4 linked regions of the Caenorhabditis elegans genome follow. The protein of the gene in region 2 interacts with the protein of the main gene of each other region in a pairwise test. Each region holds a gene or a part of one and is shown on either strand. Other genes may lie near its edges.

Evidence for each region.
Region 1: the proteins of sma-9 (region 2) and lir-1 interact in a two-hybrid assay, tested with the Caenorhabditis elegans proteins (one large-scale study listed by BioGRID).
Region 3: the proteins of sma-9 (region 2) and ces-2 interact in a two-hybrid assay, tested with the Caenorhabditis elegans proteins (one large-scale study listed by BioGRID).
Region 4: the proteins of sma-9 (region 2) and ztf-16 interact in a two-hybrid assay, tested with the Caenorhabditis elegans proteins (one large-scale study listed by BioGRID).

Annotation. Positions count from the first base shown.
Region 1 is NC_003280.10:7,669,641-7,676,076, reverse strand, and holds the start of lir-1 (LIn-26 Related), read right to left. Parts: upstream 4,073-6,436; 5' UTR 4,035-4,072; coding exon 3,969-4,034; intron 1,214-3,968; exon of another isoform or gene 1,078-1,213; intron 1-1,077. Other genes in the region: lir-2 (C2H2-type domain-containing protein), read right to left, coding at 4,283-4,367, 4,947-5,366, 5,418-5,598, 6,162-6,231.
Region 2 is NC_003284.9:10,770,293-10,776,797, reverse strand, and holds the start of sma-9 (Transcription factor sma-9), read right to left. Parts: upstream 3,708-6,505; coding exon 3,144-3,707; intron 3,092-3,143; coding exon 2,936-3,091; intron 2,868-2,935; coding exon 2,330-2,867; intron 1,906-2,329; coding exon 1,454-1,905; intron 1,269-1,453; coding exon 1,193-1,268; intron 969-1,192; coding exon 559-968; intron 511-558; coding exon 373-510; coding exon of another isoform or gene 274-372; intron 226-273; coding exon 7-225; intron 1-6. UniProt on the Caenorhabditis elegans protein: Transcription factor, probably acting as a transcriptional activator and repressor, involved in the TGF-beta-like dbl-1 signaling pathway.
Region 3 is NC_003279.8:14,958,881-14,967,017, reverse strand, and holds ces-2 (Transcription factor ces-2), read right to left. Parts: upstream 5,522-8,137; 5' UTR 5,492-5,521; coding exon 5,210-5,491; intron 5,158-5,209; coding exon 5,095-5,157; intron 2,288-5,094; coding exon 1,997-2,287; 3' UTR 1,657-1,996; downstream 1-1,656. UniProt on the Caenorhabditis elegans protein: Transcription factor. Required to activate programmed cell death in the sister cells of the serotoninergic neurosecretory motor (NSM) neurons. Negatively regulates the activity of ces-1 which in turn negatively regulates the activities of cell-killing genes.
Region 4 is NC_003284.9:4,804,684-4,814,160, forward strand, and holds ztf-16 (Zinc finger protein ztf-16), read right to left. Parts: upstream 6,858-9,477; 5' UTR 6,843-6,857; coding exon 6,770-6,842; intron 6,557-6,769; coding exon 6,501-6,556; intron 6,257-6,500; coding exon 6,112-6,256; intron 6,009-6,111; coding exon 5,917-6,008; intron 5,563-5,916; exon of another isoform or gene 5,425-5,562; intron 5,207-5,424; coding exon 5,138-5,206; intron 4,974-5,137; coding exon 4,884-4,973; intron 4,822-4,883; exon of another isoform or gene 4,681-4,821; intron 3,988-4,680; coding exon 3,763-3,987; intron 3,571-3,762; coding exon 3,391-3,570; intron 3,323-3,390; coding exon 3,197-3,322; intron 3,149-3,196; coding exon 2,945-3,148; coding exon of another isoform or gene 2,861-2,944; intron 2,194-2,860; coding exon 2,011-2,193; 3' UTR 1,315-2,010; downstream 1-1,314. UniProt on the Caenorhabditis elegans protein: Positively regulates the expression of ver-1 in the amphid sheath glia of amphid sensory neurons. Together with ehn-3, plays a role in somatic gonad development and is required for proper gonadal primordium assembly and somatic gonad precursor cell morphology.

The sequences.
Region 1 (6,436 bases), on a different chromosome or scaffold from region 2:
TAAACATTCGAAGCTTGTGCCAGGTGACCTTGCATATTTGTTGCGCTTTTACAAAAAAGTAGGAATTTTTCAAAAAGATATATGACCTTGCACCTAATGCATGGATTAGTGATACTCGCCACATATTAGAAGCAGAAGCACACTGTAACTTCCTAGAATAAAACAGGTGATTCTCAAGATCTAGATACATATGTCTCACAACTCAAAAAGCTAATCCAAATTCTTGTGCACATGAAAAGTGAAAGTATAAGATGGGTCATGTAGACTAGCGTCTGTTTGACGAAGTGTGTTCATTGTGAGTCATAGAGAAGTGATTAGATGTTGTTAAAAGAAGGTAGTGGTCAACTTGCTACTTAACTTGGAAAATGCCAAAAATACAGCTTTGATCAAGGTTTTTTTTCTAAAAATCGCTACAATTTTTACCATAAATACTAGAGTACCAGTTTCATTGAAATTATCTGAAAGCTTTTCCAAATTAAACCTTACAGCAAAAAAAAACGATTTTTTAAATTTTGCCAATGACAACTTTTAGATACAATTTCACATTTTCAGACAATTTTTAAGAAATTGTTTTGCCTTAGTATTTGATAATTTTGAAAAAATGTCTTCCAAAACAATGCTAAATCTTCAAACAGCTCACTTGGAATTTAAAAAAGTTCCAAAACACCTATTCTACACATTTTGAATTTTTGATCGTATGCTCACTCCTACAGCAACCCATTCTTCTCTTCAGTACTCTCCAATCGTTCCTTTCCACTGATTTTTTGTTTGATGCACGGTGTTTAACGATTCCTCTGACATTGGTGGCTCTGACACAATGAAAATGTGTGATGGCCTCGCTATGTGATGCCCGACCGCCTCTGTGGTTGTAACTCAGCGATTCGAAAACCAGTTTGAGTGGTGCCCTCGTCTCGCATGCGCTCATCACTTCGTTTTCGTCGTCGTCGTCGCCTACAGCGCCTATGTCGATTTGTCGATTCTATTGTGTGCAATAATGGTTGAACGACGAGTGAATCACGTTGGTAGAACGAATCCGATTTAGACAAGCGTGTGTGCGCACAAAACGATTTCATCTGAATTGGCTCCAATCGGGGTCGATTTATAGAGCGGAGAGGAGGTCGCACCATTTCATCAACTTCTTCCGTCGTCCAACCGTTCACAGAATTTAGGTCATCGCGAGCCGAAAGTGCGGGTGTACGTCTTTGCGGCCTCGACGGGTGACTTTACGGAGATATGCATTCGCTCCTTGGACATGAAGAAGGAGAAAGTCATGGATTGGAATAATATGCGCTACGGAGGAGTGAGAAAGATCACGGAGACGACTAATGCGCACTGTGCGCGAATGTTCCCATAATACCATAAACTCAGAGAGAAAAGACGACACGGATACTCTAACAGGATCTTCGGAACATTTAGTAATACGTTACTTTGAGTTAAAAAGAAAACGATAGCACATTTTTTAACTTTTCAAAAAAAACTCAAAACAACGAAAAAAATTCTACTCGAGTACTTTAACTGCTTAATTAGTCGATAATTTTTTGAAAACCATTCAAAAATTCTTCTAGATTTTGAGCAATACTTCCTACCATAAAATCTCAGAATGACGTATCCCAGGTCAAAACTTTAGAAGACCCTTTCACTCTCACTTCACATAATGCACAATTTGACCTTATTTCGGACACTCACTGGGCGAAATCGCGTGAGAATGAATTGGAGTCAAGAGCGTCTTGTAGAAGTGAACAAAGAATTAAGAAATAAGAAGGAGTTTCATTTTATAAGTACGGATAGTCAATGAGTGGAAGCAATGAGGACTCGTAAAGACGATTATTGTAATAAGGGGATAAAGAGTCTATACTATAGAAAAAAGAGAAGTCTGCAGACTTAAGGTTAAGTGTAGTGACGGAAAAGTGAAAAGTCGTATCAAAAAAGATGCACAATGATACCGTCAGACTGACGATGTGCTCGATTTTTATGGCTTCGGCTCCACCGGCAATATTTGCATACACCACACACACACACACACACACACACACACACACACACACACACACATTCTAAGCATTGTGCTGCGGTTTTATAATATCGGACACCTTACCACCCGCTTTCAAACCGGGATGCTTAGAAGGTGATAGAAGAAATGGTGTTAACAGCGCTCACACAGTTTTGTTGTTGGTTGCGCTCGCCGGGGCACACGACAACGGCGACAACGACGCGACGAGTACAGTTTTGTCAGTTGTGTGCATTGTGCATACAGGCGCTCAATACCCGGTATGGGAGAAAGAGAAAGGGATGGGAGAAGACGATGATGGAGAACAGGAGGTATGTACACTTCGGACGATGCTGAAAGTGAGGCAGGCGCCAACGCGTTCTATTATGAGCTCGTACAGGCAAAAATGTATTCGTAGAATAGAAGAAAAAGAAAGACATTGTGATGAAATATAGATTATTCAATTACAAGATTAGTTCGGACAGAAATACCAGAACTAAATGGAATTTTAATGTTTCAGGAAAATTATTGATTAATTTATATTTTTAGTTATTGTCGCTAATGATTTTAGAATTTAGATTTAAAAAATCTCGATAAATGAGCAAACCTGTCAAATGCGAAAATTAACCAATTTCCAGTATCAAATATAGAAATATTTCGAAAAAGGGTAGAGGATGATACTGAGAGAAAGAAAACGGACGGTTGCTCCGTGAACAGAAACATTCAAATCCTCCGTTCAACATATACTATCTCTCGTCGATGAAAGTAGCATCACCGTGTTGCTCGCATAAATGGAAAAGGGAACAGAGCGAACAAAAAATACGGACGCCGATGCAGCAGTTGGCTGCAGCTCTTGCTTCCTTTCTGCACATTTATGAGAGCGCCACGACGATTGATTTCATCGATCTCTTATGTACAGGAGAAGCACCGAAAAAAGGAGCTATATATGTCGAATTCGAAATGAGCATCGTGCGAAAGAAAGAGCTTGGAATTGAGAGATCATTGATAGAGTAGAGGTTTTAGGAGAAATATAAAAAAAATGTTTGCAGTGATGTTCAAGCTAGTCTATACTTCAAAAATCTGATTTCTAAGAGAATAGAAGTTATAGGTTATGTTGAATCCCTACATTTTAGGATCAAGGGTGTCGCTTTTTCGGTTTTTTTTGTTGGAAATTCAACAAATTTTGGTTTTTTGATTTTTCGAAATTTCTCAAAAATTGCTCGAAATTTCAGCGCCTGGGCTTTTTTTAGAAGGAAATTATATTTTCTTTTGTGTTTTATATTCAACAAAATTAAATTTTGATTTTTTTTTCGGAAAACCAAAAAAGTTCGTTTTTCGATTATCTCTCAAAAAAATTGGCATTTTTAGACAAAAAAACTAAAAAATTTATTTTTCGAAATTTATCAAAATTTAACAAAAATTGCTCAAAAAAAAGTTAGATTTTCGATTATTTCTCAAACAGAAAAATTGACATTTTTTAAAAGAAATCCTTGGTTAGCATCAGACCGCACTTTTTTTCGGATTTTGGAAGAGCGAAAAAACGGAAAAAATTTGTTTTCGATTTTCAGAAAAAAAGTTTTTATTGATTTTCAATTACACTTAAAAAATTGTAAAGTCCAAAAAAAATAATAAAATCTCGGTTACTTGTTTGAAAAAAAACTTTAATCAACTTAAATTTTGAATTCCGTATAAGAAAAGTGTTTTCAAATTTTTTTTCGATTTTTTCTTTAAAAAAAAAACGGAATTTTTCGTTTTTTTTTCAAAAGTGAATTTTTTTGGATTTTCTCAACAAAAAAAACCGACAATTTTTTCAGCGGCACCCTTGTTTAGGAAGTCGATTCGAATAATTAGGGGATACCAATGGTTAATATGGACCGAAAAAGGAATCAGAGGTACAATTGGAAGTTCTATGCAAAGTTTCAAACCAGAGAAAATGAGTAAATCAATATTTTAGATAATTTTTATAAATAAAAAAACTCACGCAATAACTGAGAAGATCGATCGTTGCTGCATCATCGTTCAGTTCGATGACCACAAATTTCGGCATCCCGGCCGGGTTCGAATCGTACGAAGACGACACCTATGTATATTATTTATATTATTAGGAATTACAAGAGCACGATAAAGATATTCAGAAATAGAAATAACTATTTAAATAAGAAAAAAGAAATTACCACAAATAATAAAAAGACCGACGATTTTATTGAAAATCGAGTAAGAACAAAATTTGCGTTGTAAAACTTAAAATTAAAAGAAAATATTATAAATATCAACGAAAAAAATTTAAAGAAACTATTAAATTTTTGCTTCTTTTCCATATTGATGATTCGGGAAACACTTTGCCATTGTATCCAGCCATTCTTTTCGTACTTCTGGTGTTCTGAAAAAAATTGACTTTGTAAGATTTTTTTATTTTGGAATGAAACGAATTAAATTCAGTTTTCAAATGGACATCGTCTGAATTGGATTTTATTCAAACATTTTTAATTTTTTTTAATGGAGCGATCTTGCGACAGAATTGAATTTAAAAAAAAAATTAAATATGCTCTTTTGAAACATTTTTAGTCTAAAATATGATCTAGAAAAAAAAATTTCTAAAATTTACATTTTATTCAAAATTTCAAATCTATTTTTGCGGGTTTATGCCAAAAATAAATTTTTGGCTTATCCTCACATTTGGATAAAATTACCATTTTAAATAGAATGGAAAAAAAAAATCTTGCGGTGCAGCTGCAACATTAGTAGCAATTTTCGTAATTTATAAAACAAATTGCGTACATTTTAAAATAATTATACAATTAAAACAGAAACCGGCTTTCATGCTTTTCGAGTGAGATTAGATAAAAAAAAATAATCTCAGTGAATTAGTGATTCAACTAAAAAAGAGCTGTCGCACAATTTTTAAAATCTTTAAAAAATAATTTTTTTAAAATTTTTTAAATTCAAAATAAAAACTCACATCATATTCACAGGTTCGTGTTCCGAATTGTGTTGTGATTGTCCGTGCTGCTTTACACGAACTTTTCGTACAGCTTGATATGGACATTGGGAACATTTGAATGGTTTATGAGTGGAGTGTTTCATCATTACGTGTTCAAAGAAATTCCATTTAGAACCACCAGAATTCAGGCGAATTCCAATTCCACAAATCTCACAAATCGCTGTGACTACATCTCCACAAACACTTCCAGAACTTCCACATGATTTCATTCGTTTTGGAGATGGGGAAACTTTTCCAAAAAGTGCCAAACCAGTCCGTATAGCTTCAGTTGCTAGTTGTTCTTCCAATTCAGCAGTTTGTTCATCAACTTCTTCACTAAATTCATCATCTTCGTCATTGCAAGGTTCCAGTTTAACTTCTACATCAACACGTTCCACTCTGAAATTGAAAAAAAATTATGAAATGAAAATTCTAATTTATTAATTCTACCTGCTCTTGATTGAATTCGTCATGTCCAATTGTGATACAGGGGAAACCGGCAATTCTTTGTTAGTTGGTGGAATTGGTGTTGACCAAAATGGTGTTCCATCTCGAGAAATCTCATCTGTTTCAGGTTCATGTTCATAGTTGGAATATTCTACCGTATCGAGTCTAGGCGCTCGAGGTATACCTGAAAAAACGGTTAAAATGTTTTATTTAATTTAAATAACAGCTGCAATTAAATTAATGTGATAATTTTCTGATGAGAAATAGGAAAATTGTTAGTTTCATCTCTCAATTTCCGTTTTTCGGTCATTTTTTAAATTTTTTAAACGAAATTTCTTCTTTTTTTAGTGAATCTAATTTTCTCGTTTTTGTTTCGTTTTTTAATCGATTTTCCGAAATTCGAAAAAAATCCGAAAAAGAATATATTGATTTATCGATTTTTCAATTTTCGTTGTTAAAAAAACCTAAATTTTTCTTTTAAAAAATAAAGAATTGTTCATAATTTCCGATTTTTTTTATTTTTTAAAAGAAGTTTCTTATTTTTCTCATCGAAATCAACATATTTTGGATAAAACAATAGTTTTCTCGACTTTTTTTCGGACATTTCTTTCATTTTTCTCGATTTTGCGATGTTTTATTTTCAGTTTTATCTGAAAAATACTGAGAATCAACAAAAAAAAACGGAAACTTTTTTGATTGTGACGAATTCGCTTTTTAAAGACAATTTGGGAAGTTTTTTACACTGACCAGTTCTGATAGACGATGCCACCATATCCGAACTTCCGATGTGCTGAAATCGAGAGAATCCATGATCAATCTGAAAATTATAAATTTTTTTAAAATTTCGTTTTGAACTAACATGAAACTTATTCTGCCTTCATTTGCTACCTGATTTAGCTTATAATAGTTAGAATCAAATAATTTCAAGCGAAAAGCTCACAAAAAGCTACACTCAACACACACACGCAACGCGCACACGCTCGCGCACCGCTCTTCACCCTGTTACTTCTCCAATGTCTCTT
Region 2 (6,505 bases):
TTTTACAATTCCTTTTGCTTGATATTCTTCTGCATTCTCCAAATACTGTTTCTCACTTTCAACTGTCATTTCTTCGAGTTGTTGATCGGTCAGTTGCGATGCGAAGTGAAGAAATTGTTTAACACAAATCGGTGATATGTTGTAGTTTTCATAAATATGTGTCAATGTTCCAGAAGAAACCATTGTCAGTTTAGTTTGTAATACTTTGGCAAGAAATGCTTGAACCTGGAAAATAAAACAATTTTTTGTACGTTTTAAAAATATACATAGTATTCATTTTAAAATTAAAAAATAAAAGCTTCCAAAAATTGAAACAAGTTTAATTTCTGGTGTTTTATCTTTGGTATGGATCCTGTATAGTCTTTCACTTACAAATGGCGGAATGATGGCGGCAAGATTTTGAAGCGTTAACATATGTTGTTCCCACTCCTTTGGTAAACTTCTAGGAAATGATGAGGAGGATTGAAGAGCGTCAGGTTTTGATGTACCGTCTAGTTCAGTAGAGTCATCCTAAAACATTCAACGATGATGTAATGCTAATTAAATAAGACTACTTACTTTTTTCAACTTTATTGCAGGCTCTGAAGGACCAGGCATGTTCGACGGTGTGTGGGCTGCAAGTGGAGAATGCATTGCTAACGTTGCATCTTGATGAGTGTGACGACGCTTCAGAGCACTATGCGGGTTTCCTTCTTGTGCTATTTGTGCTTTTTCTAGCTCTTTTTTCTTTCCGCAAACAACTTCGTGAGCTTGGAGACCAGCTTCATTGGGAAACGTGAGTTTGCAGTATATACACTCCGGTGTGTAGTTAGGATCATTATGTGCCTGAATCGGACGAAGCAATGGCTGACCACTAGTCAAGCTGCCCATGAAATGTTTTGATCCACTAAGCTCGAATAAACTCTGGCTCCGACTAGCAGCTTGCAACATACGACTGTCTTTTGGCCCAGGCGAAGTTCTTGTTGATCCTGAAAAATATAAAACATTAAGGGACAAACGGGACAATCACAATATTCATCAATATATAATATGCAGATATGGACACGTGCAGACACGCACTGGCATGCAAATCGAGACGGTATAGCGGAAACGTTGGGGCGAGTAATAGAAGGAGACAATATCTTGTCTTGGGATAGAAGGACAAGGGTAATGGAGCGATGCTTTCAAGAAACTCAACCACACCACAACTCACCACCACTATTACTGTCGTGATCGACCGAGGATTGCGCACCTATTTGCCGATGGTATGGCCGCTTTTTGCGAATCACCTGTAAATGGACAGATTCGAAGACGTCAAACAGAAGGACAAATGAGATTTGAAATTATGAATAAAAACATGAAAGGTTTTGTTTTATTTTGGTCTGGTATTGTTTCCGTATCATTTCATCAAACTCCAGGGGGCGAATTATTCAAAAAAAGAAAACCCATCACGCTAGAAGAATTCGGCACTCACCGGGTCTCCTTGAAGAATGACTTCGTTCTCAGAGATGATTCGGCTGATGTGGTCCGACATCGACTCGTTGCCAGACGATGCGGCCTTCGACGAGGAAGGCTGCTCAAGTGGTTTGGAGAGCGAGGGGGCTAAAATCTGATGACTGCTTGTGGCAGATGCAGACGTAGATGTGGATGATGGATTCATGGAAGGGTTAGAATTTTGTTTCATAGGTGGCACAGCAACAGGCGTGCGGACTGCAGCCGGTGCCGTCGTTACCGCCACCGTAGACGGTACCGGCTGCTCTTCTCTCCTTGCAATACCAATTGGAGTTCCCATGGTGATACCACCTCGAGGAGCAGGCGTCGAAGAAATGAGCAACTGACGATGTTGTGCCTCGCGCGCCTGATTTTGCAGCATCCGCTGCTGTTGTTCGTTCAGCATTTGAGCCAACCTCTCTTCTTGTGACTCTGCTGAAGGGGAAAAATATTGGGTAAGCGTGTTTGAACAACCAATGGTTAGAAGGTGGTGCACAGAAAAAGAGAAGAAGATGATTCAGGAGAAAAGCTGAAGTAATGGTTACAAAAATCTCATTCTTTATCACTTTCTAATTATTGTTGGTTTACACACTATCTATTTGCATGCATATTTCAAAAAAAAACAAATGGAAACAAAATGTTCTATGATATTTTTGATGTCATATACGTATATCGGATAATTTTCAAAGAGTTGTGGTGTGGTTGTGTGGTTGAACGTATGTGGACTGGCAAAAAAGGGAAACGATGGAAAACGGGAAGGGAGAAACTGGGAAAACAGAGAAGGGAAACAGACACAGAGTTGTGAAGCGTGTGAACGTGAGAAAATGAAAACAGAGAAAAATACAAAATTTAAACGTACCGTTTGGGGTTCCATCGGCTCTTTGCTGCAGTTGCATAGACTGAATATATTGCAGTGCTTGAGAAACTGTTCTATTTTGAGACTGCCCTTGCTGTTGCTGTTGAGCCTGTTGAGCTAGTTGTGCTTGCTGAGCTTGTTGAGCTTGTTGAGCCTGAGCCTGTTGCTGTTGGAGAAGCAGTTGCTGTTGAAGCTGGGCTTGCATTGTCTGTGTAAGATCATTCAACTGTGGAGTTGAAGACAATGCAGGCGTCGATGCAACCGACGGGCGTTGTTGTGAAGCATTGTTCTGAGCCTGAGCTTGTTGGGCAGCCGCACGTTGCTGATGAAGCTGTTGCTGTTGTTGAAGAAATTGCTGCAGTTGTAACTGTTGTAATTGTTGTTGCTGCTGCGCCTGCTGCTGTGAAAGCTGCTGAGCTTGTTGCTGCTGCAATTGCTGTTGCTGCTGGAGTTGCGCCTGTACCTGGCTCTGTTGGGACGGCTGCATTTGTCTAGACTGGACATGCTGAGCTTGTTGAGCTTGTTGTTGGGCTTGTGAGATCTGAAGAAAAAAAAAATAAAATAACGCCAATTTCAAGTTATCAACATGCTATTTCTGTGTCAACTCACCTGTAGAACCTGTTGTAACTGTTGCTGCTGGAGCTGTTGTTGTTGAAGTTGTTGCTGTTGCAGTTGCTGCTGCTGAAGTTGTTGCTGCTGGAGCTGTTGTTGTTGAAACTGCTGTTGTTGAAGCTGCTGTTGCATGTGCAATATTTGAGCAAATTGCTTAAAATAAAAATCAAAGTTTCGAATTATCAATTTTGTACTAAACACAAACCTGTGGCGTGACTTGCTGTTGAATAGCTGCTAATTGAGCTTGTTGTTCTTGTTGCCGTGCCTGCGCCTGTTGCTGTGCCTGTTGCTGAGCCTGCTGCTCAGCTTGATGACGAGCTTGGGCTTGAGCTTGTTGTTCTGCCTGTTGTCGAGCTTGTTGCGCTTGTTGAGCTTGCTGAGCTTGTTGTGCCTGCTGTTGAGCTAATTGATGTTGCATAATTTGTTGTGGATTCTGAGTATCAGTCTGTTGCGCATTAAGTGCCTGTTGCATCAAAAGCATGTTAACTAAATTTTGTCCTTGTGGTGTTGACAAAGCTTGCAGTATCTGAGCATTCATTTGCAATTGCGGCTGGTTTTGTTGTGAAGCAACTTGTTGCTGTTGCTGCTGCGACTGTTGTTGCTGCTGGACGTGCTGCACTTGCTGTTGTTGCTGCGAAGCCTGCTGCTGCTGAGAAACACTTCCAGGTCCATTAGTCTGGAGCTGTGCTTGTAATAATCGTTGATGATTTAGCTGCTCACGTTGTACCTGCTGAAAGTTGTTCGAGATTCCAATTGCCTGATGGCTCATTCGCCAATTCTAAAACCACTTTTTAAGTTTGATTCATGTAAGTTAAGTTCATCGTAAAACAAAGTGAGATAAGGGGGAAAATGAGAGATGAAGACGTATTACAAAAAATAATGAGAAAGTGATTGGAACCATGTGACGTTCACATGAGACCATAATTAGCATGAAAGTTACTTGTCTACAGCAAACTGGGTACAAGGTTCACTTTTAATGATTCGGGGAAGAGTGGTCACGTTTTTTCTTCATTCCTATCAATTCAAACGTCGTTCTGATTTGATTCATACTGATTTCTCTAATATGTTTCATTACAATGAATGAAGGGGAATAAAAATAACAATTACTAAAACCGTTGCCAAATGTTTTTAAGACTGTATACAATGTCTTGAAATAAATCATTAATCAAAACAGAAGACAATATATTGTCGTTCATTCTTTTTCTATTCATATCAAATCAAGACGCAAATTGCCTCACTTTGACTCCTGCAACAGATTGGAGGCTCTCATGAATGCAGTTCAGTCTTCGAAACGGTTACCCATTACTCGCGCAATCTTTTCACTCACACTATCACAATTTAAAAAAACGGGAAAAGAGTACGTCACCTCAATTCTTCGTCACCTTATCACAGATTTGCAGCTCTTGAAAATGTTCAACACTTCTTTGTAACTTGTGATTGTGATCGATTAGTATTCTATGAGACTAAAAGAGTGTGTGACATACACATTTGCTGCTCTCTGTCCTTTTCTCTCTCTTTCTTTCTTTTTCTCACTCAATGTTCATTGACTTTTCCCGTTATCATTACCGGGAGACCGGCTGTTGGCCAAGTGATCAATGACTCTATGGGTGCTAAACAGGGCGCGAATGATTTGAGAGGGACATTGGAAAAAGAAGATAGAGTGGACTATTGTGAAATAACAAAATGCAAGAGAAGTAGAGAAATGGGAAGAAAAGTTACCAAAAAAAGTGAGTGTGGTTGGTTGATGGCAAAATTTCGTACAATTAAAATATTAAGAGGACAATCAGGGCACCAAATTGTGGTGGATAACTACTGTATTACTTTAGTTTTATCAAAACTGATATTAATGGAAAACAAAATTATTTATTACATATAAATTTAACTAAACACTTGGAGCATCAGGTTTAAAAAAATAGTTTTGATATGCAGAAAATGACTAAATACATTTGAAATTTGAATGTTTTCTAGTTGCTTTCGTTAACAAAAAATCAAAGCCAAAAACTATGTCTATTAAAGCTAGAAAATGGTTATTTTTCAGTCAAAAACTCCTTTTTTAATTCAAGTTGTATACTGTAGTTCATTTATGTAGTCTGTTTTTCTCAATAATTCAAATGACTAAAATAGATGTATCTGGTAGCTGCAAATATTTATTTCACAGTTCTGCTGTTTTTTTTTTAATTTTTCGCCAAGAAAACTTCAAGATTTAAATTTTTCTGCACTCAAATAAGCTAAACCTCACCAATTACGGTACTCTATTAACAAGTTTTCATGATTAATATCTTTATTTTCTCTATCTCTTCGGAAACAAATCATTCAAATCTTGTAAAAAGCGTGTAAAAAGTAAAAGACATTTGTGATAAAGAGAAAAAACACTCATTGGCTCAGAAGAGATGCTTGAGCCTTGACAATTCCGAAAGATCCTTTCTCGTTTGAACCCAGAGAAAACGATAAACAGGAGGAAATGCCCCGGGGTCCCATGACACTAACAGACCAAGTGATATGTGTGCACAGAAAAGCACTCTTTCACTCTTTTTCTCTCTTTTTCTCCCTCACTTTGGATGGATGAGAAATAGAAAAAAAAGAAGGGGCCTGGTGAATGAAAAGCAAGAAAAGAAAAATGAGAAATAAAGGAAGCACTACAGAAAAAAAGAGAGAGAGGAAAAAAAAAGGAAACACCCCGAGGAGTTTGAAAAGAGGCCGAGGCAGGAAAACAACTGTGATTAAACATCAGACAAACGTGTAGAGGACAGGAAAAGAAGCAGGTGAAAAATAAGTGAAGGTTCACGTGATCATTATGTGGTTTTGACGAGTGAGAAGAAAGAGTGGAGAAAAGACGAAGAAAATAGACGCCGAGCGAAGGAAAAATAAGCGAAAACAGGCCGCCCATATATTCCATATTGAGAGGAGTGGCAACACACGGAGATCAACTATGTGGAAACTGTATCCTTGACTTTATTTTCTCAAGTGATATCAGAAATACAAATTGCCGATAACAATACATGCAATAGGGCATTACGTTATGTTTCGTTTTAAGATGTTTTTAAAAACTACCCTTTTTTGTTTTTGTTTGCAAAATGTGTGTGCGAAATAAGAAAATATTTATACAACTAGACAAAGTGAATAGTGAATTTTCAAAATGCTAAATTTTTTGGTTGAAAATGCAGTAAAAATTCTAGTTGTGTTTTTATTGTTATTTTTTGCGTCACTCATCTTTTAGAAACTGCAGAAAACATTCTTAAAGCTAAACAGGTACATTCTGTATGTGCTCAATTAATAATAATTTATACAATTGATATTTATTAGTTCATGTCTAATTTTATCGTAAATTTTTTAAACTTTAAACAAGAGAGCAATCAAGTAATTATTGTTGATCAAATGCTGTTACTTTCTTTTAGTTTTTAAAATTATTACATTACATTAATGCTACTCTTTTTTATAATTTTTGAAAGTTTACACTGATCATTTTCCATAATTAAAAAGTTATACCAAAGCTAAAAAAATTTAGATGATGAAAAATTTGGAATTTAGTGAACCATCTCAAAATCAAACTTCACAAATGTTTGCTGA
Region 3 (8,137 bases), on a different chromosome or scaffold from region 2:
TGTTAATTGCAAAGTGTGAGTGAAGACGACTGATAGGAGGATATGACCTAGATGTGCCTATAAGTCTAGGAAAATGGATATGATAGCATTATCACTTACAATTAACCATCATATTTAACAAATTTTAATTCTGTGGATTTGTAGAATTTACCGAATTCTGCATGTTCTGAAAATTGCCGTGTATAAAAAAAAACTATTTAAAGAAAATTTGGTCCTTTTTTTAATACTTATTTTATTTAATAACTTTTTAAAACGTTTGTGTTGCTTTTATACTTTGCACAAGAACTCCACACGGCAACTTTAAAGAATTGCTGCACTTACATAGTGCTAGCCAAACTAAATATTTGTAGTTAATAGCGTCGATATTTTCGATGATAAGTTCCAAAAACAACTACTATATATGGAATAGAAAAAACAAGTTGTGGAAAGCTTTTTGATGATTTTTCTTGAAGACAACTAATATTTTGAAATACTAACAATAAGAAAACCTAGAGCATGTTTCTCATAGCGTTTTTAGCTGTAATTTGAAAAAAACTTTAAACCACCAATGTTCCGTCTGACTCATAATTTCTCAATATACCTTGATTCAAAAAATTGTAAGAATAAAAATAGTAGATCCACTTAACGGGCGGCAATTAGAACTTTGGAAAACTAAAGAAAGAAAGAGAGAAAGTTAGAGAAAAAGGTGGAAAGCGAAAAAAAAAGAAATATAAAAAAGTGGGAGGCTAAGTGTTTGTTGTGTTCGAATCACTTAATCTTTATGGGAAAACAACGAAAAAGAAGACTTTCACGGATGAATTGGCTTAGAATTTAGATGTGATGACGCAGCAAAGGCCACTTTGCGGAACGTTCGAAATAATCATGATTTCAGTTTATAAGTGTGTTGATGTCAGATAATAACTTTAATTTATTCAGAAAACTTTGATGTTACTCATTGTCAGAGTTGTTCAAAAAGTTAAAAACAAAAGTTTTACTAGCACTTGAAGGCGTAATAAAATATGAACTTTGGCGAAAATTGCGAAATCGATGTGAATATAACTTGAAACTTTCTTAGAACTTTTGGAGAACTAACAGTTTGGAAGATTTTGAACGGTTCGACCCAAAATGTACATTTAAAGATGTAAACAATATAGAGGATGTTTGATTACCTATCGGTTTAATTAACGAAATAAAACAATAAAAAAATAAAAATAAAATACCAAAAAATGCAATAAAAGACGATAATTCCAAAAAATTCAACATCGGACAGATGCGACACAGAAAAGTAAGCAAAGTTTGAGATGCTAGCTATAATCAGTGTACTTTTTCGAAATTTTGAACCGCCATAAATTTTGAGAAGTTTTTTGAAATTCGAGGAGCAACAAATAATAACTTAGGAGTGTTGCCTAGCACACCGAATTTTAGATAGTGACAAGTGTCACTTCTACAGTTTATAATAAATTAATGGCTACAAAAAGTCAAGAATGTAAATATTTGGAATTGTTTAAAACTCATTCATATATTCCGAGTTAAAAAATTCAGGTTTAATTCTTTTAGAACTATTATAAAGTGCAAAATATTACAAAGTTGGTTACAGATCTTATTATATTGTGTACTATAATATATCAAATACATATATTTCTGAACCATTTAGAAAAAAAATGTCAAAAAAGTACATAAAATGCATACACAATATTTATTGTCAAAATAAGAATTTGTAGAAAAATCATCAATGATAAGTTGAAAAACTATCAGGAAATATACACGCACCCGCAGATGAATAACCTGATAGGGGATTGAGGTAGGGAGAATGAAAGCTTAAGAGATAGATCAAGATGAATGGGTGGTATAGAGAACCGATTTAAAGCTAAGGAAAGAAAAATAAAGCAATTTCAAGAACCTAGAGAAACATTCAAATAAATAGAAGCTTTGAAGTAACGACTGTAAATTTACAACAAAAGTGCGTAAACAACACTAATCTTTTTTTAAGCGTCCGGTATATGAAATACAAACAATTTCATACTTCAATGGTTGAATCGCTTTTAGAATCATTAGAATCATTAGTTTCCGTTGAATCGTTTGACTCGCAGGACACTTCAGAATTTGCTGGTGAGATTTTGGAGAAGAGGAGAAATCTGAGCTGCGCGGCCTCTTGCTCTAAGCTTGAGACCTTTCCACGTAGTTGCATGTTTTCCCGTTCTAAAGCATGAGCTTTTGATGCGATTTGTTCTTCTTTTTGACGACGTGCGTCTCTCGAACGTTTCGCTGCATCGTTGTTTTTGCGCCGACGCTCGAAGTATGCAGAGTCCTGTAATTGCTGAGATTAATTGTGATTTGTTAAGTTTTCAGAAACTAGGAATTTATTAGTCTACAAAAGTAATACACAATTTGCGAAAAGCCTATCAACTAGGAATTAATAAATCTCTAAGCACAGTTAGCCTAGCAAAGAATCATAATTCTATTAGGGTGATAAATAAGTTTTGTCGTTTTTTTTTCAGTTTTGATTTTTTCTAGGATATTTTTTGTGGATATATAGAAGACAGTTAGAATGACAAGCCTATCAATATCAGCCATGATGGGCACCGTTAAGATTATTTCCAACTCCGTTCTCTGCCGATCAAAACATTTAATTTTTCCGATTTTTGTCATTTCTTTGGGAAATCGAAAACTTATACACCCTCAGGTAATAGACTATTAGTTTAGCACATTAGTGTAATAACATCCTCATACATAGCGTATCGATACAACAATATCAGTTGAAAGTGCCGAAAATGCTTGCAAACATGACTTTTTAAACTTTGAACGACGCTAACTCCTGAAACGTAAAAGATATGAAAAAATGATCAACTACAAAATTAACAAGCATTTCAAGCACTACAATGTGTTAGTTGATGACTGTTCTGTATCTTTTGTTGTTTTTGAGTTAGGGTCAGTTGAAGTACGCTAGGCCGAAATTTTGATGATACCATTTTTCCCCATTTTTCCATGTAGCTTCAAGATAAATTATTTAGAAGAACTTTTTTAAGCAAAAATACAATAATTAAATAATTTTATACATTTCATTAGTTGTACGTTTTTAATATTTCATATCCCCGAAAAGATATGAAGCACACATACACTACTAGTTATTTCTTATGCGACTTTTTGAGTTTTCATATACTTTATTAAGGAATATGCCAAAGTTATTCCGTTTTATAAAACAAGAGCTACACATTATCGCAAATCCCATATTAAATATCAAAGGAAAAGTATCTCATATTCACGTAAGTTTATTCAAAAAATCGGTGTGACAGTTGTGTTTTGTGTAAGCCTCTCTTCTAACCACCGTATGCCGTTCACCAGAATGAGTGGGTTTTGTTGTGTAAAATGTACGACCCCTCTATATATTTTTCCGTATGTTTTATGCTCGGAGGGGCACCGCCCGTAAAAGAAAACTTAGATGTAATATGCGTTAGGCCAAAAAAGTTTGAGTCTTTTGTTACAGAAGGACATTAAAGTTTCATAAAACGACAACATATACAGTGCCGACCAATATTCTATTCGTTTTCGCTTTTAAGGTGATTTGCTTGAGTTGTTCAAACAAGTATAACTCGAATACGATAACATCTAGCAAAATATTTTTAATTAACAAAATGTTGCCGTTCATTTTGTCTACACTCTTGATGTTGGTTTACATAACTTTATTACGAAAAAAGCTACATCAGCTGAAATCAGCCGGGACTATATTTTGACTAGAATTGCTAAGTGACCCACAACTTTGTGCTCATGAAACAAAGTTTAATAAGAAAATAATTTGCACCAATTTTTCTACACTCTGCCATTTGCAGTTCTGTCATCAATCGACCAGGAAAAATAATACAGAGGATTGAACATGATTCTCAAATTTCTAGATTTTGAGCATGTTTTAAAAATCCTATTAAATAGCTTTATATAATAGTTTTTGTAACGAAAACTTACATCACGAATGTTTGCAACATGTTTGAAATGTTTTTAAACTCAGAACCTAAACAAAAATTTTGCTCGCATTTACAGAAAATTTGGTCAGTTCTGACTTTTGTAATGCATGTTTAGTCATCTGTATAAATTTCCCTGGGCACTTTGTGACAAAACAACAAATTGCAAAAAGTTGAAAATTCTGTGGAAATTATTTTTTTAAATTACACATGTAGAAAAAGTAACCGGTAACATTTTGTTAGTTGAAAATTATTTGTTAACTATTATAGTATTTAAGTAATATGTGTTTGAAAAACTCAGGCAAATGGCCATAAAACCGAAAGCAAATAGAATATTGGCCGGCAACGTGCCACTATGATATTTGGCCATTTCGCACTGGCGCTACGAAAAATTACAATTTTTTTACAAAATGAGAATGTGGGTACTTGTACGACGCAGTAAATATAGCTTACTTAGTATTTGATGCTAGCTGAACAAGAAGTGATGCTGATCTTAATTTTTTGAATTCCCGCCTCATTTGAATAATATAAATGGTAGCCCAAGTCCTCTACGGGGGTATAGTTGCGCAACACCCCTTCCTGTCCGGTCATGCCCCTCTCGTATATTCATATTCAAATTCCTCCACACACATGAAGGTTTCTCTGTCAGGTAGACTGTATGTAATTACCCCTTCTTTTTCTTATGGCAACAGTTGGGTGGTGCTAAACAATGAGCCGAATCTCGAAGAGCTCTTAATTGGAGGCAGTCTGTACCGCATTATCCCAGGAACAACCAGCGGATTTTTGAATTGGGATTGTTAGGAGTAATTATTCATTAGCATAGCTTAGAGACAAAATGGCGTTGACAATGCTCCGCACTAAGAGGAAACTCCAGGAATACGGTAAATAAGGCAACTTATAATTATAATAGTTTGGGTGGGGGCGTTAATACTAGTTGACTTTCACACTATCAAAAATTCTGACACCCATAAACCATCTCCAACAGACACCTCGCGGTCGTCGTTGCGTAACTAACAGGAGTCGTGTTACGTAACTGTAGTGATTTGAACTTAAGACCACGCAAATACGATTTATGAATATTTTTAACCTCATGGTAAGTCTCTATTGGTTTTCAGATTTTTTGGAATTGTATACACTTGAAACTTAAAAAATTGAAACAAACCTTTTTTTCTTCTGGAATCGGAACCGACATCTTTCGTGATGGTGACCGTTGGGGACTTGAAAACTGAAAATAATTCCAATAGTTTTATAAGTGCTAATAATTTTTCCCAACTCACGTGTGAACTGCTAACCGTACTCGACCTGCTTGACACTGGACTGGCACACAATTCATCTTCTAGTTTGATCTTCTTGGTTGGTGTTAAAAGATTTGTCGTGGGCAGTGAGTCAAATGGTAAAATCCCCAACGGAGTGTCCAACTTCTTTCCGCCGGACTGTGCAGCAAGTGCAGTCGTCAGAATAGAAGTTCCGTCGTTGAATGGGAAACCAAGTGAGCCGAGCAGTGGTTGAACGGCTGCTTGATTTGTGAAAAGCGCCGATAGTGCTCTATGAAAGTCCATTGCGTCTGCTGTGATAATTTGGGGCTAAAAAAGACACAGATTTATTAACTATAAGAGAGTTGAAGAGGTAAATGTTTGATTTTCAGTTTAAACTTCCGATGGATAAGCTAAGTGAATAGTTTTAACCCTAGAAGACAAAGGCTAGATGGAAAATTCCCAAAAAAATCCTTTAATTGATGTAATAGGGTACGTCAATATTGAACTTTTGATTAAAACATTTTTAGAGTTTCATAAACTATAAGCTTGAAAATTCAACTATAGACCAGCCATGTTTCAGGTTACACCATCCAATTCCGTTTCAAAAAAAAAACAAAGATATGCCCATGGTAAATTAAATTGAACAGAAGAATATATTGGAAGGTAGAAAAGAAAGAGGTCAAATGTTTGCACAATCATAAAAAAGAGTAAAAGGAAATGGAGGAAAGAGACAATCTAGGATTAGGGTGGAACCTGAATTGGTAGAGGTTGTTAGATAAGCGGTGAGTACTGATAAAGTCAATGTGGATCCTCAAGTTACTTAACAAGTTTGAAAAGTTGTGTTTAATCAAAATAATTGGAATTTTGCTTGTCATATCTTAAAATGAAAAGTTGAAGTAGGCTAATTGTTATTACAAAAGAGTATATAATATAATTCAAGTTTTTAGCTCTAGAATACATTTCTTAATCAAAAATGATCACTGAAGAAAATTCAAGATGCATACGTTAGATGGGGAGGAAATGAAATGACCTCTACAGTAGTCATATTTGAAATCTATATTTTTTTGTGAATAATTTAAGTTTTATCAGAGTATTGTAACTGGAAACATCTTAAGAGTTTTGCGCGATTTTTGTAGTTCAAAGTTACATATGATTTTTTATTAGTAGAATCAAAAACTAAAAAAAAACGAAGTTGTAAGAAATTGGGTCTACTGGGACCACCCTGTTGCCCCATATACCCATCGGAGCATAAGAGTGATTGCGCGTCGGCTGTCTCGAGAAATGACAGGCGGTATGCGGGATGAGGGTGGCAGCATTTTCCGCCCGCCCTCCAAGAGGTCACCACCGGCCATCAGAGGGTGCAACAGTGCGCAACACTAGAGAGCACGGGAAGAGAACGAGACGCAGAGCAACCGTATGCAATGGCATTTGAATATTCGTTTTCTATGAGAGATAGGTGTCTCGTGTGCATTGGAACGTCGGCTCTTCTTCTGAAGAGGAGAATGAGGGGTTGGTGGTAGACATGGAGGAAGAGACAATCATTACGCAAGTATTTGAATGGTAGGTAGTCATTAGGTAATAAGGTTTGTTGGGTTACGGATTTGTTGAAACATTGAATGAATGTTTTGATGCTGTCTGAAATCACCTGAAATCAATGAGAAATGAAGATTTAATTACCAGCAGTCAGTATTCTAAAATTCAGGGTTTTAATTTTATGGCCTTACTTTCAACAATTAAACCCTCACGTTTGAGAGCACATCTTAAAAATTCAATATTAGAGGGATATCATTAATATTACCACCAAGGCTTCACATGCATCCGAAATCACTTCTCTTCATGCAACAATATTCATCCTCCCGACCTTTCATCCTCTTTCAAGTACCATGTGCTCATCGGTCCCTCTTTTGAACTTACGCAATGGCTAGTAATACTGCGTAACTGTTACAAATCTAGCCTACCGGAGGGTATACGGGGCAGTGCTGTGGGGCTCTCGGCTCTCGGCGGAAGCCGAGAGCTGAAAAAAATTTGAACTCGGCTCTCGGCGCGAGCCGACTTTTTTCAAGAGCCGCACAGCACTGATACGGGGTTTTTGAATTTTTTATTGGAATCATATTTACATTATGAAGATTTACGCTCTACTTCAGGCTCACAATCCTGACACAAACTTTGAAATTTGATGAATCCAAATAGGCGAGTTTCCGATTCTCCGTGGCAAAAACAGCCGAGTTCTTGTTCTATTTGGCACTGATCTAAAGATAGGACATGTTTGTAGTCTTTCCTCGCATGCTCCGTTTACGATAGCACATGTGTTGAGCGCAATTAACTTCGCGCACATCTTCCTAATCCCGACAAAAACGCCGACGTCTAATTGATCATTGAATTATTATCTTCCAAAAAGGACTTGACACTTTTTCTCCTCATCGAAAGCCGAATCCACTTGTCAATCATCATTCTATAGAATTCAAGCAATTGCCAATTTTTTATGGATGACTTGCACAGGCGGGTATATATTCAAATGGAATTGAATTTGAATTTGTGAGGTTAAGATTTTTATGTATACAATAGTAAAAGATGAAATCATGTCAGTAGTACCGCTTTTTTATGCTAAAATATCACAGTGAAGCTTTTTAAAACTTTTTTGAAATTTCTCTATGTGTACTCAATTTTCACTTATCATAACTTTTGAAATGGACCAAAAACGGTTTTTGTATTCGATAACACCAATGAGAATTCAGTTCTTGGTTGATATCATGTTTAGAGATCTCAAACTTTTGAAGACTCTTCGTGTTTCTGAGTAACTTTCCGAGAATTCACTCTTTCTGAGGAAGAGTTTACAACTTTTTGAGCACAAATTTTTAACTAAGTGTGCTCGAGATTAGGCATTCTTGCGGGGACTGCTTTTGTGAGATAGTTTGCACTAGAAAACTCAAAGCTTGGTCGGAGTTGGGC
Region 4 (9,477 bases), 6.0 Mb from region 2:
ATCAGAAAGTTGTTCTTCGGAAGCAGTTCTTCTCCCGCAAACTGATTTTTTTTCTCTAGCAAACTGTTAAGAGAATGTGGAAAGCAACTAGAAAAACGTAGCGAAAAAAAATTAAAATTATTGCAAACTGTTCAAGTCACATATTTCAACGCGATTAGTTACTGTGTCACAGCGGGATGTCAGCACAAAGGACATTAATTGAAATGTATGGAAAACTGAACAACGGCGTTGAAACATTGCGGGAAAATGAGATTCAGCAAGTGCAGTTTGTCAATTGAAGCTCAAACTTTGAAAAAGGAATGTAACGTTAAAACTTAAAAGTGAAGTAATGTATAATCAAAAAAAAAAAGTTTTATGATTTTCAAATTGTTCTATTTTCAAGTTTCTGTTCTTTCTGGGAATTTCCGTCGAAGATTGTTTTTTTATTTGTCGAAGATTGTTTTCCTATTGTTTTTTTTTGGAAAAAATTGAAAAAATTGAAAAAAAAAAGCAAACTTTGGAAAATTTTAAAACAATTTTTTACACTTCCGTCTTTGAGATTAAAAAATTTAATTAAAAAAAATAGTAATTCCTGGAAATTATCAAACTGAATATTCATAAAACGATATTTTAAAAAGCACCGGAATTTTTGTTTTTATTGTTTTCTGAATTTTTAAAATTCATAAAATGTAAAAATGTAACATTTGTTTATAGTTCAAAAAATATATTCAACAAAATTTTTTGAAAATTTTTTGTGCATAAAATTGTGAGGAAAAAATTGCAAAATTTCAGAATCCAGCAAGCTAATTTTTCATTCATCAAATTATGTGAATAAACATGAATTTTTAGGTTTAATGCGAAATTGTAAAAAAAATATGGCAAAAACTGGAAACTTCGCCAACCGTGTTTCTCAATCATGTTCTGTCAGATAACTGACGAAAGGCACCTGCAATTTGTGTTGTGATAGTTCTACTTTTTATCAATCTGCTAACAAATATAGATGCAGTTTGAAATAAAACAACAACCCATAAATAGTTCAAATGTCCTTACAAATGGCTATAAATAAAACTGATCTAGTAGTCGCTAATCTTGACAAAAATATGAGAAAGAGAGCCACTATTGTTGGTCCTGCAGAGCACAATGTTGATGCATTGGGTTCTTGGCAAGTCCCCGTGGGACACTGCCCAACTGAACCGGATTGTCCGTAGTGAGCAGCACACGACTCATAACCATATACGCTGGGCCAATGTCAATCACAGACTGCCTGCCAATCCATTTAGCCGTTTTCCTAGCCACCATGACTTTTTTCTAGTATTCTATTCTCCAGTATGTTTTCAACAAAATTTATTTTGAAATGGGAAGAAAATTGATGGGACAGTGGGACAGAGAGAAAGCTTGATAAAATTACTATTCTAATCGGAAAGAAATGTTTGGGATGGGTGGAACAGATAAGGAGGCCTTCAAAAATTCTGAATATCAGTTGAAGTTCACTAGTTTAAAATACATTCGAAGAAATCATTGAAATTGTACAAATTTTGATGAGGGGTGGTGGTGAGAAAGGAAAATAAAACACTAACAACAAAAACCTAACAATGCAAGGTTACGGAAAAAATTAACGGGTCCAAAATGACTTTTGACACGTGTGCAAATGAATTGAAACAAGATAGAGAGCAGAATCAGGAGAAGATGAAGAAAGTTTTTAAAAATGTAAATAATGATATTTGATGGTTTAATATTGATGAGAAATAGACAAAAACACGGGGCAAATACTTTTGATAGAGACAAAGAGCTGTTGAGAATCAATGAGAAGAAGCAGAATCATTCGTTGTTTCCCTGTTATGAAGAAAGAAAGTGACAAATAAAGAGGTAATCAGAATTGACTGTGAATATGCATCGAAAAAAACCGAAGAAAACCGAAAAAAAAAACAAAAATTAAAATGTGGATGAAAGAATGGGGGTGTTTTGGATTCGCTAGACTGACTACTAAAACTGAAAGGCAATCGGGGGGATATTTCTTGGATGATGGTGAATTCAGGCGGAAGTCGTTGCTTGAGTACTATGATCGGCAAAAATGACATGAGTAGTGAACATGTACTTCTCGCCGCACTGAGTTCCGCACAATGCGCATTTGAAAGGATCACCGTCCGAGTGAAGACTTTTATGGAGCAGGTACATTGTGTTGTCGTAGAACATCATTCCGCAATGACAGCATTCCTAAAATAATTCTAGAGTTAGATGCCATTAAATGAGTAACGGTTATGAGTGTTTTGAGTATATATACAGAAAGCGCACGAATTAACGAGCTTTGCAATGAAGTTTCTAACAGAAACTTTTTAAAAAGTTTTTTTTAATCGAAATTTGAATTTTTGAAAAAACCTGCCAAATTCTAGCTAAAAACTGCAGCAGTCCGAACTTTTTTTTGAATGGTATCAGCTGCTGCGAACCGGAAAAGGCAAAGGCCGGGCTTTTAGCTAAAATTAACTCTTTTTTTTTGAAATTTTTTGAGAAGTCTCATTGCAAAATGTTCAAAATACCTAAAACCTATAGTTTTCCTTTAAATTCAAATTTCGGAAGAGAAAGTTGATAGTTCTGATAAGGTGGGTGATGTAGAGAATCCATCATCCTTCAGATTTCAAAGAAAACTTGTGACATCTACGAGAAATTGAAAACCTCCTCATCAAACTATACATGGTGTAATGTTCGGTTTTTCTATCTCTTTTTTTAGATTTTTTCTCAAATGAGAACGTTCCGAAAGTTGCAACAAATTGGCAATCATTTAATCAGTCTATGTTTTTAAGGTTGATAAAACCAAATTTTGGCATCAACAAAGAAATGGATCAAAAGTCCCAATTTTTGGAAAAAAAAACTCTGTTGACGATGCTCACAATTCTAATTGCACTTCGAAAAAAGGTAAACAAAATGGTGACATTTTCAATAACAAGTTGTTATTAGCGATAACACATACCACATTCTCCTCGTCTTCTTTTTCGGGAGTCGGTGATTTCTCTTTTTCAGTTAACGAAAGTGATGACTCATTGGCTGGCGGCGAGTGCGACTGTTCACTCGGACTTGGAGCACTGACACTCACAGAGCTTGACGTCTGCTCTGACCAGAGTTGCACCTGATCCTGCTTCACAATCGCTGCCACTGCTGGAATGTTGTGAAGAGCCTGAAATGCAAAGGTTAATTAGCGAAAGTGTGAAGGTTTCATTGATACCGGCAATGGAATATTTGGAATGTTGAGCATTGGTCTTGGGATGTTTTCTCCGAATCCATTGAACTGGTTCATTTGGTTTAGACACATCAACAAAATATCTGGGTTAGCCATAGGGAAGCTTGGTGGCTGAAAATAAAACCATGGAATCATGGAAATGCTTTTTATTCAAAAAGAAACGAAAGAAAGATTCTTACAATTTTGTCGAATTCAGAACTTGTGGAGTTATCGGAGGTGTCGGTGTTTGGAGGGCTAAACTCTGATTTCACCATTCTTTGCAACTGTTCTGTTATGCTCATGTTCGCAGGATCCATTGGCAAAGCATTTCCATTCGACAGCTTCTTCCTTTTTGGCGTGTTTTCTTTTTTCGGAGAAGACTGAAAATCAGAATGAGAAATAAGAGTTCACGTTCAGGATATCACATGATGAGAGAGATTCCACGGAAAGTGCGTCTCTTGGGGCAACCGAATTAAGCTCCGAGAACGAGAAAAACATCACCTAATAAGGCTCAGGTTCTGCTCGCTAATCATGTGTTACGTTTCCGTGTAATCTGAAGTTACATCTCTTACCTCAGAATCGTCATGTCTTGTCTGGAAATGAAGGAGAAGACGTCGCGAATTGGCGAACATCAAATTACATCGCTTACATGACGCGGGATTTGTTGACGAAATTGTGTGCGTTTCTTCCAAGTGTGCTCGGAGTGCATTGTGCTGACTAAACTGCATGTTACATTGTGATACTGGACAGTCGAAACCAAAACCCGTTTTGATATGTGTCATTGAATGCTCTTGCATCTGAAAGTTATAGGTTTATTTTAAGTTACATGTTTAAAACATGACTACGGTATGTTTTTAACATCTAAAAATCGGTTTTCACTTTCACACAATATTACAATTTACAATTTTCTCTGGTTTTCTCCTCGCCCCGCAACCTTTGTCTTTCATTATAAAAACCCCTTTTGATGCGAGCGAGGGTGATGGCTTTCAACTTTTCGGGAACCAATCAGAGACGCAGCTAGAACAAAAAAAAAACCGCCGACGGTTGGTATTTCTTCTTTTTTTTACTGATTGGCCCTGGGGGTAAGGTACACAGTAAAGAGCGGCAAAAATATGGAGACATCGAGAAGATGCTAGAAGGTAGGATGGGAGGTAGGATCTTCCGAAGAAAATGCGCGTGCTATCGTCAAGGTCTTTTACTTCTCATCTTCACCAACGTCGTCGGATAGTATGAAGAATCGGAGAAGAAAGACGCGCCAACCGTTTTCATATTCGACGGCATAACCTGACACCAATACCGTCAAATTGGTTCCCCCCGATTTTCCTGTTTTCTTCAGGCTCGTCGACCTTCAAGAACGGTTTTGGGCAAACAGATATCATCAGAGCGCTTGAAGAAATGGTTGATGGGCACTGCGGCAGTTCCCTGCCATCCATGGAAGAGACTCTTCTTATTTCCGGGAAAGTGAAAATATCCAAATTGAAAACGACCTTCAGGCGGCAATCCGCCGCCTCCTTCTTCCCTCAATTTCCCTTTCCTTACGGGAGATCAGTTTCACTTTCCATTTGATTACGTAAATTGAAGATAAAACACGATTTTTGAGTTACGGAAGGCGGCAGCGGCTTCTTACGCAACAGCCGTTAAATGGTGGGGCTAGGAGGTGGAGGGTAATAAAAAATATGCCAGACAAGCATACCTGATCTTTCCTGAAAAATCGTTTTTTGCAAAAACGACACTCGTATGGCTTCACACCGCTGTGGCGCATCCGATGACGATGCATGTTAGCCTGAAAACGCAACATTGATAAACCACAGGAAGAAAGTGAAAAGGGAATCAAAGAAGAAGATCAATCAGCACGATAACCATACTTGGAAAATCCAAATGATTCAAAAGTTGTCGAGTGTTTGAAAACCAGATTCCGATTCAGAAAATGTTTTAAAAATTGCTCACCTTCTGGCTGAACTGCATTTTACAGATGTCGCATTGGTACATTTGGCCTTGATGGCGTTCATGCGCTTCCTGAAATGTTCAAGAATCTTCACTGGTATGTCATGTGATTTCTAAGGTCATCACGTTTTTTGTACTGCCCCCGTATCTGGTCTTCCCGTTTCTTTTTCCAAAAACGCCTCTTTTTCCTCCCATCTTCTTCCACCCATCCCAATCTCTACCGCTTGATGTCACTACATAACCGAAAAAGGGAAAATCTATGTTTTTTTTGGTTTGGTTTCTCGGAAGATTCTGCCTTAACCAATTAGTATGACACCGGCTCACATGAAAGGCAACATCCTTAAGAAGAAAAGCCAATATATGAGGAGCCTGCCTCCTTCTCCCATACCACTCCACTACTACTCATCCCGATGACCGTTCGGGAAGTGATGGGATTGGCCGTCGGAACAAAAAACAGTAGGGTCAAGTGAGAGACGCAGTTAACTGGACAGTAGATAGAAAGTAAACAGTAGTTTGTGAGAAAAGCGGCATGGAGCGAGTGGGAGAAGAGAAAAGGTTCACGGAGTGTTGACTTACAGGACCCACCTTACAAGGAATTGATGAAAAGTGGAAAAGAGGGAAATTGAAAAGACTTTCATATCCATCAACAGATTTACATGCTAAAATTAATTTGTACCCTTGGGAACATGCGTAATAATGTACTGAAAGTATCTTTCACTCTTCCGTCACCTATAGAACAAGAGAATGCTTTCAAGAAAACGGGTAAAAATCCTTGAACCTACCAAGTGGCTTTTCATGTGTTGCGACATACAAGTGGTGAAATTACAGTGCGGGCAAACGTGAACCGTCTTTTGTCCTTTGGTGCCTGGTTCTTCTGAAATTTTTAGGTTTCACAATTGCATATTGGTACTTGGTAATTAACCATCAATAGAAATACATTCCAGTGTGTAAGAAAATGCAATTCAAAGAAAACTTACTTTTGATGAGAGTGTTTGTGATTTCTGTTATCGAAATGTGATGTTCAAGATGTTCATCCGAGTCCGGACTCGGCGTTGGATCTGAAGGGGGCGTGGACCGTGGCGACGGCGTGGACGACTGAATACCATCTCCCCACTCGATTGTCTGAAAAGCCTTGGTCTCAATGTTTCTAACGAGTCTCAGGGGGCATGTCTGGAAGACGTGTTACAACGTCACATCCAACATCCCTCCCCTCTTCATTTTTTCCACGTTCTGTTGTTCCCTCACATATCTTCTCTACCTCTGGCACTAATTAGGCAAATATGGCATTATGACGCAACCTTTTTTCTATATCTCTCACTCACACGCTCTCACTCTTCTGGATGAATTTTACTCTCCCATAACATACCTGCGAGTTAGACATTTCTCCGCTTGAAGACCTGCTGTGCTCGTTTTCGTGCTTCTCTGCAAAAAAAAAGTATTAGGGGGTAATGTTGCTAAATGTGAAACGCAATAGAAGCGGGTTAGTTAATGGGTTGAAGCGCTCACTAAACCGCTACAAATCCGAATTTTTACGGGTTTGTCTCCGTTCTAAGATGAAAAAAAGATGGACAAAGCGCGGGTAGGTGGATGTTTCAAACGAATTGGCATTCATGTATCACCGAACAGGTTGGTTACCTATATGTCCTTGAAACTCGGAAAATACAGTAGTCGTGAATCCGCATTCTGTGCAAGCGTTCAGTTCATCCATTGTTGAGATCACTGAAATGATAACCATAGCAAAATGAAAAACCCTGACAGGGAATATCTGGTAATGAGACGAAAATGGGCGACAAAAAGAAGAACAACGAGGAAAAATAGGGGAAAAAAGCGAGGAATATGGCACGACGAGACTTGCACACAATAATCAGGTGTGTTTACGGATGGCAGAAGATAAGAAAGGAAATGTATAGGAAATGGTAACAGGCGGATATAGGAATATATGGGAAAATTGGAAAATGGAAATACTAAGAGTGACTGGAAAAATATGTATTATCGGAGCGAAAAAAGCGGAGGAGGGGGAAAAGGAGGAGCCGGATCCATAGGTATGATCACATTGACAAGCATTTACAACGGCTCGCCAAATTACTGGTTACGCGCCTGGATACGAATTTGGGGAGTAGGCAGTAATTTATGGATAGCCAGCTTCTTTAGCAACCACTGCGAGTTGGACTTGTTATGAGTGTGTTTGATTTAGCGAGAGCCTGGTCCACGGTTTTGAGAGCAGCTAGGTGACCTCGCCTAGTTGTTTGTCGTCTCGCGGCGGCGGAGGCGAAGAAGGACCGAGATACGGTTTCCGGGTTTGGCCAAACATCTCAACCCGATGCCTCCCCGTGTACTCCATAAGCTGCTTCTCCGGATTTGACTTGCACTCATAGCGACGAGCTACTGTGTGCTTACTATATTTGTAAGAGAAGTGGTAAAGTGTGTATTCGCTGGGCAGTAGGTATCTTACGGACCTTTACGAGGAGCAATAAGAAAAAAAAGTTGATGAACATTAAAAAAAACAGGAGGAACTAATATGGATTAATTATCGCATCCAGACATGGTGTGTAAGATACGAAACATCAAAACATATATACTATTACACAAAATTTGCATCATAAACACGAAAAAGAGATTTGATGGATTGGGTGGATAGGGTAAAAATGTTATAAAATGAAAATTTTCAATGATCAAAATCTGAAACCAGCACAAAAATAAGATTCAGGAACCTGAGAAAAAAGAACAGGATCTCAAGGAAGGCAAAGTAATGCCAGGTGGATTATAGCACAATTATGTTGATGATTGCATGGCTGTGTGTCTATACTGGATTACTGTCAATTGCGCGTAACCACCACTACAAGTTCGAGACTAGCAGGAAGGTGGTCTAGATGGACAGATGGTGCTAACAGGTAATTGAGATGGGTGAAGTGACTGGAGAGCAAACTCGCATCTAGTATGACGTTACGTTTGCGGAGGAGAACGGTAAGATTGCGATACATAAATCTAGGTTCTATGTTTTAGGTTCTAGGATAGGAAGAGAAATTTGGGGTGTGAGGAATGGTGGGGAGCAAATATGGAGTGAAGGAATCTCTGGGGGTGGGGCACCGCAGGCATTGGATACGGTAGAACTAAAAGTGCAAAAGCTGGCAAACTGATATGGGGCGGATTACACCTGGGGGTGGCAGGGCGGAAAAACGACTTTACGCGGATGGCAATGAAAAAATGAGATGGCGGGGATCGAGGGGGGGAGGAGGTGACGGTTTCTGAATGGCATTTACAAGAAGAGAGAAAGGGGGTGAGATAGTGCGTGTGTCGCGGGGTGCCAAACAAGCTTTTTTGGGAATACGATGAAGAAAAAAGAAGAAAAACGATGTAGAAGAAGAAACTGTCGATGGCAGCAGCAGCGGCAGTGGCGGCAGGCAGCAACGGGCATCATCTCTATCTGTCGCCCGGGGGCGCAAGATGTAAAGAAAAAATCGAGCTGCGCGCACCTCATCAGAAAAACGCAGCGCCCACCCCCACACACACACACACACTCACACCGTTTCGTTCGGAAGAAAGAGAATGAAAAAATTGGAGAGAAGGCACTGGGGGAGAGGGGATGCCGTTGCGGGTGGCCTAGAAGGTCGGCAAGGTTAAAGTGAAGACGACGGGATCTTTTCAGACCATACTAGCTGCAGCAGGGAGACTTCCTCCCTCTCCGCACTATGTCTCCTCCTTACGATGGAGAAAAAAACCCGGTTTTTTGTGGCAGTGAGAAGAGCGTCTGGAACATAGTAATGACCTTCCAATAGATAAGGCATGTGGAATTACAATTGGATGAACATTTGGGAAAACGTCAAATGTAGATAAAAAATTGGAGGGAGAACAAGTGATTTTGACGATCTCGTGGTTTTCCAAGGATTATATATCATTCTAACATTATCTCTGTGGTTTTTTGTCCGTTCGGAAATGTTACAAAATTAGAAGACAAGGATGTTAGGAGAAGGTGTGAATGCTTGCATATGTGTCTTCTTCCTGTATGTTTTGTTGTTTCGTCTGAACGTATGATCAAGTCAAACATCTACAGTGTCACGAAGATTTTAGTTCCGAAATTGATTTTAATTTTCATGTTTTCAATTTGTTTTGATCTTTAATGAGTTATGAGAGCACCAAATTCACAAAAAGTACAATAATGTTTCAATAACCTTGGAAAACGACGTGAAATTTTTTAGGATGATAACCAAAAAAACAGGAATTGAAAAATTGACACTTTAGGTACCGACATACGTCCTCTCATCAAGAACCTTGGATTAGGAAAGAGATAGTGTGTATGAAATGTGAAGAGTGAGTCACGGAAAAAGAAATACAACTTAAAAATG